5 separate regions of the Mus musculus genome follow, and regions 1, 2, 3 and 5 are each reported to be linked to region 4. The links are microRNA targets in miRTarBase. Many come from high-throughput screens and were not tested one by one. Region 4 holds a microRNA gene; each other region holds the end of a gene's coding sequence.
Evidence for each region. The annotated mature microRNA mmu-miR-17-5p reads CAAAGUGCUUACAGUGCAGGUAG and lies in region 4 at 1,328-1,350, opposite strand. An mRNA with a match to its seed (bases 2 to 7 or 8) in the 3' UTR can be bound and repressed. Matches are read on the target gene's strand: a 7mer-m8 pairs with bases 2 to 8, a 7mer-A1 pairs with bases 2 to 7 and ends in A, and an 8mer does both.

Region 1 (3,071 bases), not on the chromosome of region 4:
TTTCCTTCTTGCTGGTCTCTCCCTGACCAGGAGACGCAGTCACTGCCCCGCAGACTGATCTCCCCACTGGATGTAGGAATTCCAGAGACCTGATTGGCACTACCTCTTCTTTTGCTAGGCCCCCACCACCTTGATGGTTTTTCTACCCCCTTCATCCTGCCCCCACCTTGTCTCTGGTCCTGGAACTTGCAGTGGTCAGGCCAGGCCTCTTCCTGACTCTTTCCTCAAGTGGAATTTATGGGATGAAGGCAGATTGGGGCAGTAGGATAGCCCAACTTAATGCTCTCATTACCTGGATTTGGGGTTGGGCTGGGGTCCTGTGTAGGGCATTGGGGAGGGAGCTACATCTAAGCCAGGCTCTCTACACCCTGCATATGCTACATCCTGACCCACACTAGCAATTCAGGATACCTAGTTGAGCAGCCCACAGGGTCTTGCTCTTTCAGTCCTCCTGACTGTCCCTCCACTTGTAGCCCAGGATATGCTATGTGGCTAAGGTAAGGGTGAGGGACTGGGAGGAGCCGAGCGTGGTGGGCTCTGTATTGTGAGGTGGTAGTGATGAATCCCTTGCTCTTCGGTCTTGGGCGCCTCTGTGCCTGGCCTGGCTCTTCCAGCAGGTGTCAGGCTCGGTCCGTGCTCAGCCTTCTCCACCACGCCCACCATTCTGCCAGGCTCAGCTTCCAGGTTCAGAGGAATTGCGGGTTTTCAGAGTGTCTGGAATGTAGGTTAAGGAAAGGTTCCACACTCTCCACTTACTGGGTCAGGCATGACCCCACAAAGTGACAGGAGCTCTCCACTTTGAGGCCAGACAGCCTGGCTTAGCTGTAGATCCCCCACCTTCCAGCAGGGTGCCTTATGTCAGGGAGCCTCAGTGGCTGTTTTACACTTTGTTTTGAAAGCCAGTACACGGGGTCCCCAAAGTCAAAGTCTTTCCCAGCCTGTGGAGGTGTGCATTCAGGCATGGGGGGAGGGGGGGCTGAGGGATCAAGAAGAAGCCAAGAAGGAACTCTGAGGATCATGTGGTGGCTTGGAGTTGAGGGGGGTCTAATCTCCCTGGAGTGTCTCACCTCCTCCTGACCCCAGAGGCTCTCGGCTGCAGTCACAGGGCATGATGATGTGTGTCCAAATGTACCTGCAGGCCATGTCAGGGATGACTCTGAGACCAGGTGCACCAGCCAGTGAACAGGAGGGGGGAATAGTCCCCGACTGAGCTGTGAGCACATGGGGGTTAGTGTGGGAGGAAACACAGGCTTTCGTATTCTGTGCATGTGGAAATGTGCACATCCATTACAACTGTGCATGTCTGTGTGTGCATGTGTGTGCGCCCATGTGCCTGGATGCATGCGTGTGTTTGGAGACGTGACTAGTGTGTACCTCCAAGGCTGTACATAGTGTTCTGAGAGGAAGTCCCTGAGCCCATGTTCTGGTGAGGAATGGGTGAGCCTCAGCCCACATGGGATCATGGTAAGTCTCAAGGGTAGTGTGTATGTGAGCAGGAGACAGTGTATGTGTGATTGCTGTGAAACTGTGTGTGTATATCTCCATGTGTGATTGTGTTTGAGCCTGGGATTGTGGGAATGCACTTGAGCACCCAAGATCCTCAGTTGTCCCCACCCCACCCCCAGGGCTGCTAAGCAGTCAGGTGACAGCAATCCACTCTCCATGTCTTCCTGGAAACCAACCGCTCAGGAAATTCAGCTCTGGGAAAGACTGCTGGGTGTCCGAGAGAGCCACTTGTTTGCCCTCTCTGAGCTAGGCTGCAGAAGCACCTGTGTGGTTTTGTCCAAGGATAACTGGGAAGACTGGGAGGGTATTGGTCAGCTAGCCTGATTTCAACTGCAGCTCCTTGCCTGAGGTACTGACCTGGGGCTTGATGCCCCCTGCTCCTTAGTCATCTGGGAAGTATGGTTAGAATTCTCACTTAGGAGCTTGCTCAACAAGACTGACCAACACAGAACAACAGACCCCTGTCTCCAGCTTTCACGCCCTGGCCACGGCAGCCCCCTCCCCTCTCCAAACTTCCATTACTGGCACCACTTAGCAGATTTGGAAACTGAGGTCATGTGGTGTGATCTGGCAGCTAGCAGGGGCTGACATCTGGAGCCTGGTTGATATGCCCTCCGCAACCATTGTGTACAGTGCTAACTAACACTGCTTTCCCAGTCAGCCAAGCAGTCAGCGATGGCCACTTTTTTTTTTTTTTTGAGACGGGGTTTCTCTGTATAGCCCTGGCTGTCCTGGAACTCACTTTGTAGACCAGGCTGGTCTCGAACTCAGAAATTCACCTGTCTCTGCCTCCCAAGTGCTGGGATTAAAGGCGTGCATCACCACCGCCCAGCAGCGATGGCCACTTTTATGCCCCTTTCCTGCTCAGTGCCCAGAACAGCCAGCCACTGCACGGAAAGTCACAGACACAGACGGGGATCGTTTATTCCAGAAAGTGCTTAAAGAAACCACTGGGCAGTGTGCAGAAACATCAGTCCTCAGTGCCCTCCCTCCGAGACAGCCCCTCCCCCAGGGTGCTAAAGCCCCAGCCCCTTCACTTTGCAGAGTGCGGAGGGGAGGGGTGCAGGACGGAGGGGGGGGCGTGGTCCACAACAGGGAGCGCAGGAGATGGCAGGATGCAGGGGCAGATCCCCAGCTCAGGCCGAGGGGAAAATGAGGAATCCGCTGAAGATGCTGTCGGCTTCAGTGCCCTGGTAAATGCGACCCTTTGCGGGGTCCTTTTCGATCCACACCTCGTCCCCTCGTCGCAGCTGAAGCACGGTGCCCCCTGCTAACACCTGAAAGAGCCCCTTGTTGTTGGTGTTAGAGAAACTCAGGGAATCCCTGGGCTGGCCCCCGGAGGAAGACTTGATAAACAGACAAAGGTCCCACTTGGAGATCACTTGGAAGTTGAAGTAATAGAAGCCGGGCACTGCACAGATGAAGCGACCCGTGTGGTTCTGGTATGGACTCTCCTGGTTGGTGAGGACCTTGTCAAAGATAACCACGTTGCCAAGCGTCATTGGGTTCTGCCGAATGGCTGAGAAAGCTGGCCGGGGCTGGTCCCTGATATTGCCTGGATTGCC
Region 2 (3,071 bases), not on the chromosome of region 4:
CGAAAGGCTGCCGTAATGATTAAATGATATATAGTAAAGAACACAACATTAAGAGGGATACAAATAAGTGCTTGACAGATGGAAGCTTCTAGTAGCATCAGGACAAAGAGGAAGATCAGTAATGAGAGCTTTACAACCAGACCATTACCACCTCCCTCCTCCAGTCTCAATTGGAGCCCATGAACATGGCCACTGTTAACCTGCCCAGGGACTTCTGACTAGATCTCTCAACACACCAAGACAGCTATATAGAAACCAAGATGAAGCTAAATGTTCCCTGAGGAAGCAAATGGCTGGTAAGAGCATTTTATAGCAACATTAAAAAAAAAAAGCAGAGGCTCACTCACAGGACATAAAAATTAGAATGATGGAGAAGGGAGACAACTGAGAAGTCCTAAGATGTCAACCTCACAGCCCTAATGAAAAGTAGATGACATGAAAGAATTCTTTGCTAGGTGTGCACGTATCTAATGTGCACGCATGGTGGCACACATCTGTAATCACAGCACTCAGGAGGCTGTGGCAGGAGGACCACTGAGAACCAGGCCAGCCTGAGTTACTTAGTGACACCCACTCGGCCTCAAAAAAAAAAAAAAGAAAAGAAAAGAAAAGAGGAGGGGGAGGGGAGGGAGAGGGGAGGGAGGGGGAAGAAAAGGAAGAAAAGGAGGAAGGGGGAGGAGGAGGAGGAAGAAGAGGGAAGGGGAGGAAAGGGAAAGGAGAAGGAAGAAGAGAGAGGGGGCGAGGAGAGAGAGGGAGGAGGGGGAGGAAGAGGGAGGAGATGATGGTAATTGCAGCCTTGCCTAACTGCTAAGTCAACACACTCATCCTCACGTTGGCTTCCTCCCTAAGACCATCTTGACTTTTTTCTCTATTTCATAAATCATTTCATTTCCTTCTGTTCCCAGGAGGAATTTATTATCAAAGAAATTCATTTTTATTCCTTTAGACTCTTTTTTTTTTCTTCTGAACTCCAACACTAGAGATAAAAGGCTTTGGCAAAATGAAGAGAAAATGAGCCAGGTTGGTGATGCTCTCCTTGAAGCCAGCGCTACAAAGACACAGAGGCAGGGATATCAGGGCTTCAAGGCTGGCCTTGGCGACCTAGAAAACTGGGCTCAGGAGACCTGCCTTACTCCCCAAAAGAAGAAATCAAACTCCTGCTTCGGCCCTGGGAACAATCCCAGGTGGGGGCAGGGAGGAGCTGACGATGGAGGACTACAGTATGAAAGGCTGGCTGCAGAGAAGGCCGTCTGAGAGGCAGTAGGTGAGAACATCGGGAATATGGCTTTCCTCTCCCCGCTAGTGGGAGAGCTATTTGTGACAGACATCCAGAAAGTGGCCAGGTTGCTCCATGGCAGATTTATCTAGTTATTCCAAAGTTTAGAATTTGCTGTCTTTTGAGCATCTCAAAAAAAAAAAAAAAAAAAAAAAAGTAAGATCTTTGACTTTAAGCCAGGCATGCTGGCTCATGCCTTTAATCCCAGTGATCGGGAGGAAGATGCAGGTCTCTGTGAGTTTGAGTTCAAGGCCAGCCTGGTCTATAGAGCAAATTCCTCCAGGACAGCCAGAGCTACAGAGACCCTGTCTCAAAAAAACTAAACAAAACAAAACAAAAAACAAACAAACAAAAAACAAAAACAAAAATCAAAACCTTGGATTTTATTGCCTTTGCCCACTCTCCTGATGCTATTCTTTCTTAAAACAAAACATAATTTATAAACAAAACAAGTACATTCCTTCCCAATATATATATATAAGATCTTAGGAGTGAAATGAGGGAAGTCACTTTGAATCTTCTACACGCTATATGCCTGTGAGGCCGTAACCAAAACAGGCAAAACTAGGTCCTGTTCCCATCACGGTTTCTCCAATCTATAAGCACACTTAAGGCTCAAAAGGCAATATTAATGCCCAAGCAGCCTTGTGAGGCACATAGACATGAAAATGTTTTCTATACTGGTCAGACCAAGTATCAGATAAAATACTGTCAGATCTTCAATAAGTCATCCATTTCAAAGGCGCTCTAACCTTTCAGATCTATATAACAAAATCAGAAACACTGCGGGGGGGGGGGGGGGGTGAATCTCCGAGCACATCCACAATGGCTTGTCAAGTAAGCAAGGAAGTTGTATCGTTTTGGTTGCCTTGAAATCTGGTCCACTGAACCTCAGAGATCTTAGGTCCCTATTCAAGGCTGTGGATCTTCCACATAAGGATCTCTCTGTTACAGAGAAAACAGGGGCAACTGCACTTGCTGGAATGTCTCTGGCTTTGTAGCAGTCAATCCAAGCTGATTTCAACCACGCCTCCGGTTGCCCAATCAAAAACTTGCTTCAGCAAGGGGCGGGGGGGGGGGGGGGATGCTACATCCCAGAAACAGATCAAATTTCTGAGATAAAGGAGAAGCATGCTTCATTTGGGCTAAGCTTAGCACCAGCCTCTCGACATTTAGTTCCTCGAAGTTAAATTGCGACTTCTGAGAAGAGGTCCCGTCCTGGGCACCAAAAAGAAATCAAAGTGAATAAGTAGAAATTCGCAGGCCAAAGCAGCATCGGAGGCCAGTTCGAGAAAGTGGAGGAATTCAGTCAGCAGCAGCAGCAGCAGCAATCCGAAGGAATGGGAGGTTCTCCACTTCCGCTCCAGCCTCACGGCCCCACCTGGACCCCAATCATCGGCACCACTTGCTCGATCCACAGCAGGTCCAGAGGAGCCGAGGCTCGGGTTTGTCTGCGGTGAATTCTGTGGATGCGCAGAAGGTACAGGACGATGGCCAGAAGCACCACCAGGGTACAAGCAAAGAAGAGATAGTGGTTGTAGACAAAGGAAAGGCGGAGCCAGCTGCCGTGGGCTGGCCGGACTCCTCCCTGTCCCTGCCGAAGGTCCCTAGGGCGAGTGGAGAGAGAACTGTTAGTTTCAAAGTGGACTGGGGCTGTCGGCTGAAGTCTCCATCCCACTTTATCCCTCTTATCTCTCCACTCAGACATTCTAAGAAACCAGCTGTGGCCAGCAAATGAAGCTTAAGGACACCCAGGGCCAAGGGCTGACCGACTTCCAGCACCTTCCCTTCCTTG
Region 3 (3,071 bases), not on the chromosome of region 4:
CCCCGTCCACCTCTGACTGTTCCACATCCCATACCCCCTACCCACCCCTCCTGTCTCCACAAGGATGTCCCCACCCCACCCCACCCCACCCCACACACACACCCCATACCACCAGACCTCTAAACTCCCTGGGGCTTCAAGTCACTTGAGGGTCTTCTCTAACTGAATGCAGACCCGGCAGCCCTATGCTGTATATGTGTTGGGGGCCTCATAGCAGCTGGTGTGTGCTACCTGGTTGGTGGTCCAGTGTCTGAGAGATCTCAGGGCTCCAGGTTAATTGAGACTGCTGGTCCTCCTACAGAGCTGCCCTCCTCCTCAGCTTCTTCCAACTTTCCTCTAATTCAACCACAGGGGTCAGCAGCTTCTGTCCATTGGTTGGGTACAAATATCTGTATCTGACTCTTTCAGCTGGTTGTTGGGTCTCTCAGAGGGCAGTCATGTTAGGTCCCTTTTTGGGAGCTCTCCATAACCTCAGTAATAGTGTCAGGCCTTGGGGCCTCCCTTTGATCTGGATCCCACTTTGGGCCTGTCACCGGACCTTCTTTTCTTCAGGCTTCTTTCCATTTCAACCCCTGCAGTTCTTTCAGACAGGAACAATTATGAGTCAGAGTTTTGACTGTGGGATGGCAACCCCATCCCTCACTTGATGCCCTGTCTTTCTGCTGGAGGTGGGCTCTACATGTTCCTTTTCCCCAACATAGGGCATTTCATCTAAGGTTCCTCCTTTTGAGTCCTGAGAGTCTCTCACCTCCAAGGTCTCTGGTACTTTCTGGAGGATCTCCCCAACCTCCTACCTCCCGAGGTTGCCTGTTTCCATCCTTTTTGCTGGCCCTCGGGGCTTCAGTCCTTTCCCCCCCACACACACAATACCAGATCATGTTCCCCTCCCCCCAACCCTCTTTCCCCCCTAAGTCGCCCCTCCCTCCCCATTTGTGATTGCTTCTTCTCCCTCCCAAGTGTGACTGAGGCCCTCACTTGGACCCTTCAGCTGGTTGACCTTTTTGAGTTCTGTGGACTGTATTTTGAGTATTCTGTACATTTTTGGGTGCTAACATCCACTTATTAATGAGTACATACCAAGCATGTCCTTTTGGGTCTGAGTTACCTCACTCAGGATGATATTTTCTAGTTCCATCCATTTGCCTGCAAAACTCAGATGTCCTCGTTCTTAATAGCTGAATAGTATTCCATTGTGTAAATGTACCGCATTTTCTGTATCCATTCTTCTGTTGTGGAACATCTGAGTTGTTCCCAGCTTCTGACTATCACAAACAAGGCTGCTATGAACATAGTGGAACATGTGCCCCTGTGGCATGGTGGAGCATCTTTTGGATATATTTCCAAGAGTAGTATTGCTGGATCTTTAGGTAGATCTATTTCCAATTTTCTGAGGAACCTCCAGATTGATTTCCAGAGTGGTTGTACCAGTTTGCAGTCCCACCAGCAATGGAGGAGTGTTCCTCTTTCTCCACATCCACACCAACATGTGCTGTCACCTGACATTTTGATCTTAGCCATTCTGATTGGTGTAAGGTGGAATCTCAGGGTTGTTTTGATTTGCATTTCTCTGATCCCTTATGGCTTTGAACACTTCTTTAAGTGTTTCTCAGCCATTCAAGATTCCTCTGTTGTGAATTCTAAGTTTAGTTCTATATCCCATTTTTTGATTGGGTTGTTTGGTTTTTTAGTGGTTAGCTTCTTGAGTTCTTTATATATTTTGGATATTAGCCCTCTACTGAATGTGAGGTTAGTGAGGATTTTTTCCCAATCTGTAGGTTGCCAATTTGTCTTATTGGCTATGTCCTTTGCCTTACAGAAGCTTTCCAGTTTCATGAGGTCCCATTTATCAATTCTTGATCTTAAAGTGTGCATCACTGGAGTTCTGTTTAGAAAATTTCCCCCTGTGCCAATGAGTTGAGAGAAGCAGATTCCAATCACAGCACCTACAACTACCTGCAAGTCTAATCTCAGGGAATCTGAAGGCCTTCTCACCTTTATAAGCCACTTAGGAACACAAACTCACACACAGACACACACACACAGACACACAGACACACACACACAGACACACAGACACACACACACACATGAAACTACAGCATTAGATCAAAAACATCATAGAGAAATGCACACCATGGGATTTTTTTTTTTTTTTTGCCTTTATTCATCAGAATGCAATTCTGGGCCAATCTACAATCAAGACAAAACCCCAAACTCTGAAGTGGCATTAACAGGCTGACTAATACAATTCCATTCTTCAAAGTACACGCAAGAACTAGGTTTTCATTCTGTTCAGAGCCCCTCTGAAAAGCACGTACATTTTCTTCCCATCCAAAGTGCATTACCAGGATCATGCTTATACAGTGAATCAGCACAAGAGACTAAGGACAACTTATATGGAACTATGTGATTCTCGCAGTACAGGGTTCACAGATCCAAGCTATATCGGTTGACTTCTTCATGGCATCTGTCATGTGACATTGTCACCCATTACGTTAAAAGAGCTTCGATAGATTTTAAAGTGAATGTTGATGTAAGAATGAAGTAGATCCAGACATTATATTTCTGTCCGGGTGTATTTACGTGATTACTAACTATTACTTAAATGATCAAAAATAAATCAATGTTAAATATCAACTGCACACAACCTAAAAGAAAAGAGCCACATTGCATCTTACTACAGTCTATAGATAGATTAAAGCAATTAGTTAGAAGCCTTTCTTAAAAATTCAAAGTTTCTGACATCATTTTCCACCACTCCATCAATTCTTCCTTCTCCTCCTCCTTCCTTTCAGAGAAAGACTCAAGCTCAAAGTCCACCTGAGGAGGAAAACCAGAACAGATTGCTGTCAGGTCGCTTATATAGTTAGAAAGGGGGTTTGTAGCTTGTACAGTAGAATAGACTCAATCTAGCCACCTGAATTAAAGGAGTATTTTTAAAATCGGTGATAAATGCAATATAGTTTTGTAGGTACAACATTCAGAAGAGAGTTCACCTTAAACTGAATAGCTTCAAAACAGCTCCTGTTTTATAAAAGCCATGACTGTCTCCCCCCACACCCCCTCATGGA
Region 4 (3,120 bases):
CCATCTTTCCCTTGAGGGGGTCACATGGTAAGAACAGTCCAAGGATAGTTCTTTCTTACAGGGTGTGCACATTAACAGAGTGGCCACCACCTGTTAACTGTTAAGAACTCACGGATTAGGAATAATCTTATCAGAAAACACTCCATCTGAATTGTCACACTTTAATAAACAGAGATCCAAAGAAAGTAACATTTTTCTTAACTCATGTTAATGGGTTTTAGAGTAAAATAAACCTGAAGTCATACCAGGTTCAAAAGGCAGTTTAACTTCACCTAAGCCCCCACACACAACTTCTTACTAAATCCAGCGAGCAAACACGAAAATGAAATGATTCAGTAAAAACAAACCACAATTTAAAAACACAAATTTCAATTAAAAAAATCCCGTTTTACACACCAACGAAAGCAATAGAAATCACAGTTTACAGAATGTGTTCATACACTCCATCAGCTCGTGAACATTTTTACAGTGGAAATCGGCATCTTCAGCAATATTGTCATTTTCACATCTTCTGGTCACAATCCCCACCAAACTCAACAGGCCGGGACAAGTGCAATACCATACAGAGAAACACAGCATTGCGACAAATCCCAACCTGTGTAGAAAGGGGTTTGATTTTCCCTTACTTCTCTACAGACTTTTCACCACCACAGTCAGTTTTGCATGGATTTGCACAGCAGAATATTATACAGCTGGATGCAAACCTGCAAAACTAACCATAGACCAGTGCTCAATAACAGGACAGTTGGCTGGGCGATGGCCAGGCGAGGCTGGAGTTCTACAGCTGGCAGTACTTTAAGTGCTCGTAATGCAGTAGATGGCTACACACTACCTGCACTATAAGCACTTTAGTGCTACAGAAGCTGTCACATCACACACACCACGCAGGCTCTACATCGACACAATAAAAATACAAAATTAGTTTAAAAAAAAACAACACTTGAAGTAAATAGCAGGCCACCATCAGTTTTGCATAGATTTGCACAACTACATTCTTCTTGTAGTGCAACTATGCAAAACTAACAGAGGGCTGCAAACACAACTATGGAGAGACCCCTACATGCTTGCTTGACTTGGATTGGATGAGGACATAACTTCTTATGCCAGAAGGAGCACTTAGGGCAGTAGATGCTAGTCTACTTCACTATCTGCACTAGATGCACCTTAGAACAAAAAGCACGCAGCACCAGCAGGCCCTCCCCGCGACCGACTGACCGACGACTGGACGCAGCCAGTGCCGCCCGAGGCAGCGCCCACTGTGGCTCCCACCGAGGCAGCTGTCAGCATAATGCTACAAGTGCCCTCACTGCAGTAGATGCACACATCACTACCTGCACTGTAAGCACTTTGACATTATTCTGACTGGTCACAGCTTCAGTCCCAAGGTGAGGTTCACTTTATTCCTGCTAAATTTGAAATAAATAATTAGACAAAAAGGAAAAAGCCAAAGCTCTAAATTCTGTCACAAACATCAATTACAGCTTATACCCAAGGGGGGGAGGGGAGGAGCCAATAGCCAGAAGTTCCAAATTGGACACATGTAAGCCTTAAAAAAAAAAAAAAAACTCCTTAAAGAAATATAAGATACAATCCCATTAAAATGTTGGCTTTTACAGTAGGCTTCCCCAAAAAACACACAATAAGGGTCCTACAAAATGAGACCTGTTATCAGGAAGGCAGTCTGACTTGGTACTACCTTTAGAGGAAAGCCTCACATTGACCAGGCAGCAATCCCTTTCTTCTGTCCTCCACATTGTCAGATACTCGACAAGATTAATGATTATTGTTTAGTCATTTTCAAGTTTATTAGTCATAAAACATAAAAAAGTCTTAGTATCACCCCAAATTAGAAATACTCTATGACTCCAACTTGAAGGGTCTACAACTATTTGGTTAGTGTCCAAAAGCCACTGTAGATTTACTACGTTAAAATGTGGCTCACTCATTTATGACAAGAGTTCAAACTGTATTTATTTCATACCTTAAAAGACCAAGAATGTTGTACAAGCTCAAAGACAAAAGTGAAAACCAAAGGTCTCAAAAGAAGTTTTAGCTACAAAACTAGAATATACTCACCCACTCAGGCAAACTTCCTTCTCAGCAAGTATCCTTGGGCAATGCTTCGGGTGCTGCTAGGTCCACGTGTATGACTAGGGTTGGGGGTGGGGTGAAGACAGAGAAAGGGTAAGCACATTTGCTCAAAATTACTACCACTTTCCGAGCCCCATTCCAAGTTGCTCTTCTCTTAATCTTCCTAAGGGGCAATTCTATCCATTTGCCAAAAAAAAAAAAAAAAAAAAAAAAAAAGAGAGAGCCAGGACCACAAGGTCCTGAGGGCAACAATGTATTGGGTGGAAAACGCTGTAACAAAATAAAGTTGAAAACCCACCAAGATTCACATCCGTGCACGAATTAATGTGCCCCTGAAATACTGCAAGATGAGTAGCAGCAAGCCTGAACTCTACTGTCCAGCTCAAGCTAGAGAAAAAGGGCAACCAGGACTAGTCTTCACCACCCCTCCCCCAATCAGGACCTCGTGGCTGCACGCCGGGATAAAGAGTTGTTTCCCCAACTGCTGTGATCCTCGTGGCACGTTGCTCATTTTCTTCCCTCTGGTCACCTAAGAACCACGAGCCCTGCTGCGCTCTCCAGTTTTCTCCCCTCCGCGCCAGCTTATCAAGAGAAAACCGGACGGGAACACGGGATCCTGCCAAGTACCCGCCACGCTCATGGAGCCCGGGCCGGCAGCACATGTCGCACAAGGGGGCAGGCGGCCCTTGTGGGTTCCCCGCGCGGCCGCCAGGGGGCGGCAGGTCAGAGCCGGGCCGCGCTGCGCCGGACGCGGAGACTCCCCCCCCCCCCCAACCCCCGCCCGTTTCTGGGCGGCTGCGCGGCGAGCGGCGGCGCGGAGGCCCGAGCGTGGCGAGGCTCCGGACACGCCGGCCGTCCTTTGTGTCCCGCGCGCCCCCCGGCCAGGCTCCGGGGGAGGGAGGGGGGCGGACAGGGCGCTCGCCGCACGCGGCCCGAGGCCTAAGCCGGGAACAATCGGCGGCGGCGCGCAGTCGCCGCCATGTCCCCCCCCCCCCCGCCCTCGGCGCGCGCAGCCCGCCCCGCAGGAAC
Region 5 (3,071 bases), not on the chromosome of region 4:
TGTTTGTTTGTTTGTTTTAAGAAAAGTTTTTTTTTTAAAGAAAGAAAGAGAGGGAGGAAGAGAGAGAGAGAGAAGAAAGAGAGAAAAGAAAGAGAGAAAAGAAAGAAACCAGTAAGAACTGGAAGATGGTGCAGGAATTGAGTGCACTTGTTGGTCTTGTGTAGGACCCAGGTTCTATCCCCAGCAACCATATTGTGGTTCACAATTATCTCTAACCCAGTACCTGAAGATCCATGCCTTTCTCTGACTTCTGATTTCATAAGGCACACATATGGTACACATACATACATGAAGGCAAAACACTCACATAAAATATGATAATCTAAGTTTTAAAACATGATGCTGCTAAGTTGGAGGAAAGGCACTTGGGTGTTGCCCGTGGCTTTAGCAGTACAGGCTTCTTGATTTTCTCAAAGGCGCAGAGTGTTGCCTGTGACATGTCTTATCTTTTCATTCCTTCATGCAGGGGTCACAGTTATTGATAAACCGTTATGAGCCTGAAGGACATTTTCAGCGTATCATTCCATGAGAACCAGGCGTCCACAAGTATTTCTGAAGGGACTGAGCGCCTGGCCTCTCCACTTGTAGCCGCACTTTACGTCTCAGCAGAAGATGAGACCATCTGCCTTCAGAGGCCTCGGATACTGAAGATTATTTTTGGTAGAAGCACTGTGTAGGCTTTCTCTGCACCGAGCAGCAGCTGACTGACTTTACAAGAGACCTAGACTGCAGTCCCTCCACTGTGGTCTTTAGGCAACAGTCGCTTTCATAAAAACTAGTTCTTATCAGCCTCGAATGACTATGGATTATTTTGTGAAAGAGAATAAAGTTAACGTGTGTTCTTGTAAAATTAAGTTTTATCTTTATTCTTTCTCCTGAAAAATCTCCTGGGAACAGAGAATCTTTGGAGCAGATTAAAATCTATGTAAGTATATGACACTGTTGAGGGGTGAAACTGCTGGCTTTTATAAGTATCTTTGATTACATGACTATAATAAATTGTGTGCATATAAATGTGTGTCTATATGCTTTCCTTTAAATATGTTTGAAAAGATGTTTGATTATCTATTTATAATTGGCACAGTACTTTGAATTATGCCAGTACTACATTGTAAAACAGAGTTGTATTTTTTGATATTTAACAATGCTGAACACTTTAAAAAACGCCACTTCTGAGGAATGAATGAACATGGCGTAACACACTTTAATATGTGTGATGCCAAACTTTTTTAAATAAAATATAAATTATGCTTATTTATTATTTTTTTCTTTAGTTTAATCTTGATCATGTTTTGGTGTGTGTTTTTAATTTTTTTTCTTAAAGTAACACTTTTGGCATGAACATACCTGCAGGTTTTTTGATGAATATAATGAATGTGTGGAATTCAACTGAATTTGCATGGTCTTAAGAATTTTTTCTGTGTGTATAAATTTAGCTGCTATTAATGGAAGAGAAAGCTTTCTGTGACTAATCATGTGTATTGAGCAGATAGTTTTTCTGAGATCTTCGATTAATCTCTTTAAAGATGACCAACATGTGTCTTTCTTGAATTATCTTTGAATAAAAGTTTGTATATTATTTGTTTCACAACGTCCTTGGTTTTACCAGTGTGACTTTTTGACTATTCCTTTTGCAGACCTTGGGTTCTCTGACTTCATACATTGATACCATTATTTTTCATGTTTGGAACAATTCTGTGTTTTCATTTTTATTTATTTTTTGCTAAAGTAACTTGTACACTAAATCTATTAAAGAAATAACCAATAACACTGGGAGTTGTTCTTGGGGAAAAAATATTGACCTCAGCCATCAAAGTAATGGACTGACTAAACTATTATATTTCCTTACTCTTTAGGATCAGTAGCACATAGATGAAAAAACAAAAACAAAAACAAAACAGTAAGTAGCCTTGATAGAAGGGGAAACAGTTGTGAAGCAACTGAGGATCCGTGGCTTTGATAATAAATACACAGAGCTGAAGGATGGGAGTGAAGGAGTGGGTTGAGTGCAGGGCACAACAGAAAGGGTGGAATTGGAAAGGAAAATTAAGCTTATGATTGTCTGTCAGGAGAGGAATCTAAAGGGTCACACTGTCAGCAAAAGTTATAATCATCAGGAAAGAAACACATGCTAAAATTTCTCTGTGGTTGATACAAACTGTTCACATTTAAATAGAACCACATTGCACAGTTGAAGTCTCCATTACAAATAAAGATAGAGTTTAATCAGGAAGGGCCTGTGTTCACTTGATGAAACATGAATTTCCACATTAGTGCAGCCTTCCAGCTTGGCCATTATTAGCAAACATGTCAGGGGTCTAATGAGTCTGGAACTCAGCCATGTCTAACAGCAGCGCCAAGAGAAGGTAGACATTCTATTTCCCAGTCAGTTCCTAGAAATGAGGAATGAATGGTTCTTTCTCTTATCACAACACAGAATATTCCTATGACTACATGTTTGTGAAGGGCCCTCACACACAGCAGTTCTCCAAAGATTGTTGCCTGAATAGCCAATAGTTCAGTTTACCCAATCAAGAAACAGGGTCGGATCCCATAAGACTGAGGGCTCAGCCCCACCAGCCTCCCCACCCCAACTTCAGATACCAGTCACTGGTATTTCTTCCCAACTGACTAGAAGCAGACTGTAGTGACACTCCCTCCTTGGGTGACCCCTATTTGCTAAGATAGCTCACAACTTAGGAAGACATATTCTGATTTGCTTCATGGTTTTTCTTGGTTTTTTTTTTTTTTTTTCATCATACAGGGTCTCAAATGTAGCCCTGACTGTCCTACGTAGACCAAGGTGGTCTTAAACTTAACCTTTCTCCTGAGTGCTGGAACTAAAAGTTTGCATCAGCACCCCCATCTTATATTCTGGTTTGGCTTTAGATATTGCAAAGCATACAGATTGAGATGTTTCTGAGGCAAGGCAGGGAGCTGTCCTATCCTTAGAGCCAGCACTGTCTCAACCACTCTAACTGGGCTTGCCTAACAGTCTCTTCCCCTTGTGTGAGAGGTCCTTTAATCATCCAATCAATCTGGTGACCGCTGTACATCGAAGGTGCCATGCC

Region 1: miRTarBase lists C1qa as a target of mmu-miR-17-5p. Seed matches in the 3' UTR shown: 7mer-m8 at 2,438-2,444.
Region 2: miRTarBase lists Entpd7 as a target of mmu-miR-17-5p. The part of its 3' UTR that is shown has no 7-base or 8-base seed match.
Region 3: miRTarBase lists Cpe as a target of mmu-miR-17-5p. Seed matches in the 3' UTR shown: 7mer-A1 at 2,518-2,524 and 7mer-m8 at 2,334-2,340.
Region 5: the mRNA of Klhl2 is a reported target of mmu-miR-17-5p. Seed matches in the 3' UTR shown: 8mer at 591-598, 7mer-A1 at 1,153-1,159 and 7mer-A1 at 1,201-1,207.

What each region holds. Positions count from the first base shown.
Region 1 is chr4:136,893,512-136,896,582 of GRCm38, forward strand. C1qa (complement component 1, q subcomponent, alpha polypeptide) reads right to left here. Exons shown (of 3, transcript NM_007572.2): 3 at 2,405-3,071. The coding sequence ends at 2,643. Among named protein-coding and RNA genes, the nearest start is that of C1qc, 2.1 kb to the left of the region's middle.
Region 2 is chr19:43,729,510-43,732,580 of GRCm38, reverse strand. It overlaps Entpd7 (ectonucleoside triphosphate diphosphohydrolase 7), which reads right to left. Exons shown (of 13, transcript NM_053103.5): 13 at 1-2,883. The coding sequence ends at 2,646. Among named protein-coding and RNA genes, the nearest start is that of Cox15, 22 kb to the left of the region's middle.
Region 3 is chr8:64,590,402-64,593,472 of GRCm38, forward strand. It overlaps Cpe (carboxypeptidase E), which reads right to left. Exons shown (of 9, transcript NM_013494.4): 9 at 2,141-2,820. The coding sequence ends at 2,722. Among named protein-coding and RNA genes, the nearest start is that of Mir710, 77 kb to the left of the region's middle.
Region 4 is chr14:115,041,914-115,045,033 of GRCm38, reverse strand. It overlaps Mir17 (microRNA 17), which reads right to left and starts at 1,363; the gene lies at 1,280-1,363. It overlaps Mir18 (microRNA 18), which reads right to left and starts at 1,183; the gene lies at 1,088-1,183. It overlaps Mir19a (microRNA 19a), which reads right to left and starts at 1,034; the gene lies at 953-1,034. It overlaps Mir20a (microRNA 20a), which reads right to left and starts at 877; the gene lies at 771-877. It also overlaps Mir19b-1, Mir17hg and Mir92-1.
Region 5 is chr8:64,738,370-64,741,440 of GRCm38, reverse strand. It overlaps Klhl2 (kelch-like 2, Mayven), which reads left to right. Exons shown (of 15, transcript NM_178633.3): 15 at 467-1,766. The coding sequence ends at 495. Among named protein-coding and RNA genes, the nearest start is that of Msmo1, 6.3 kb to the right of the region's middle.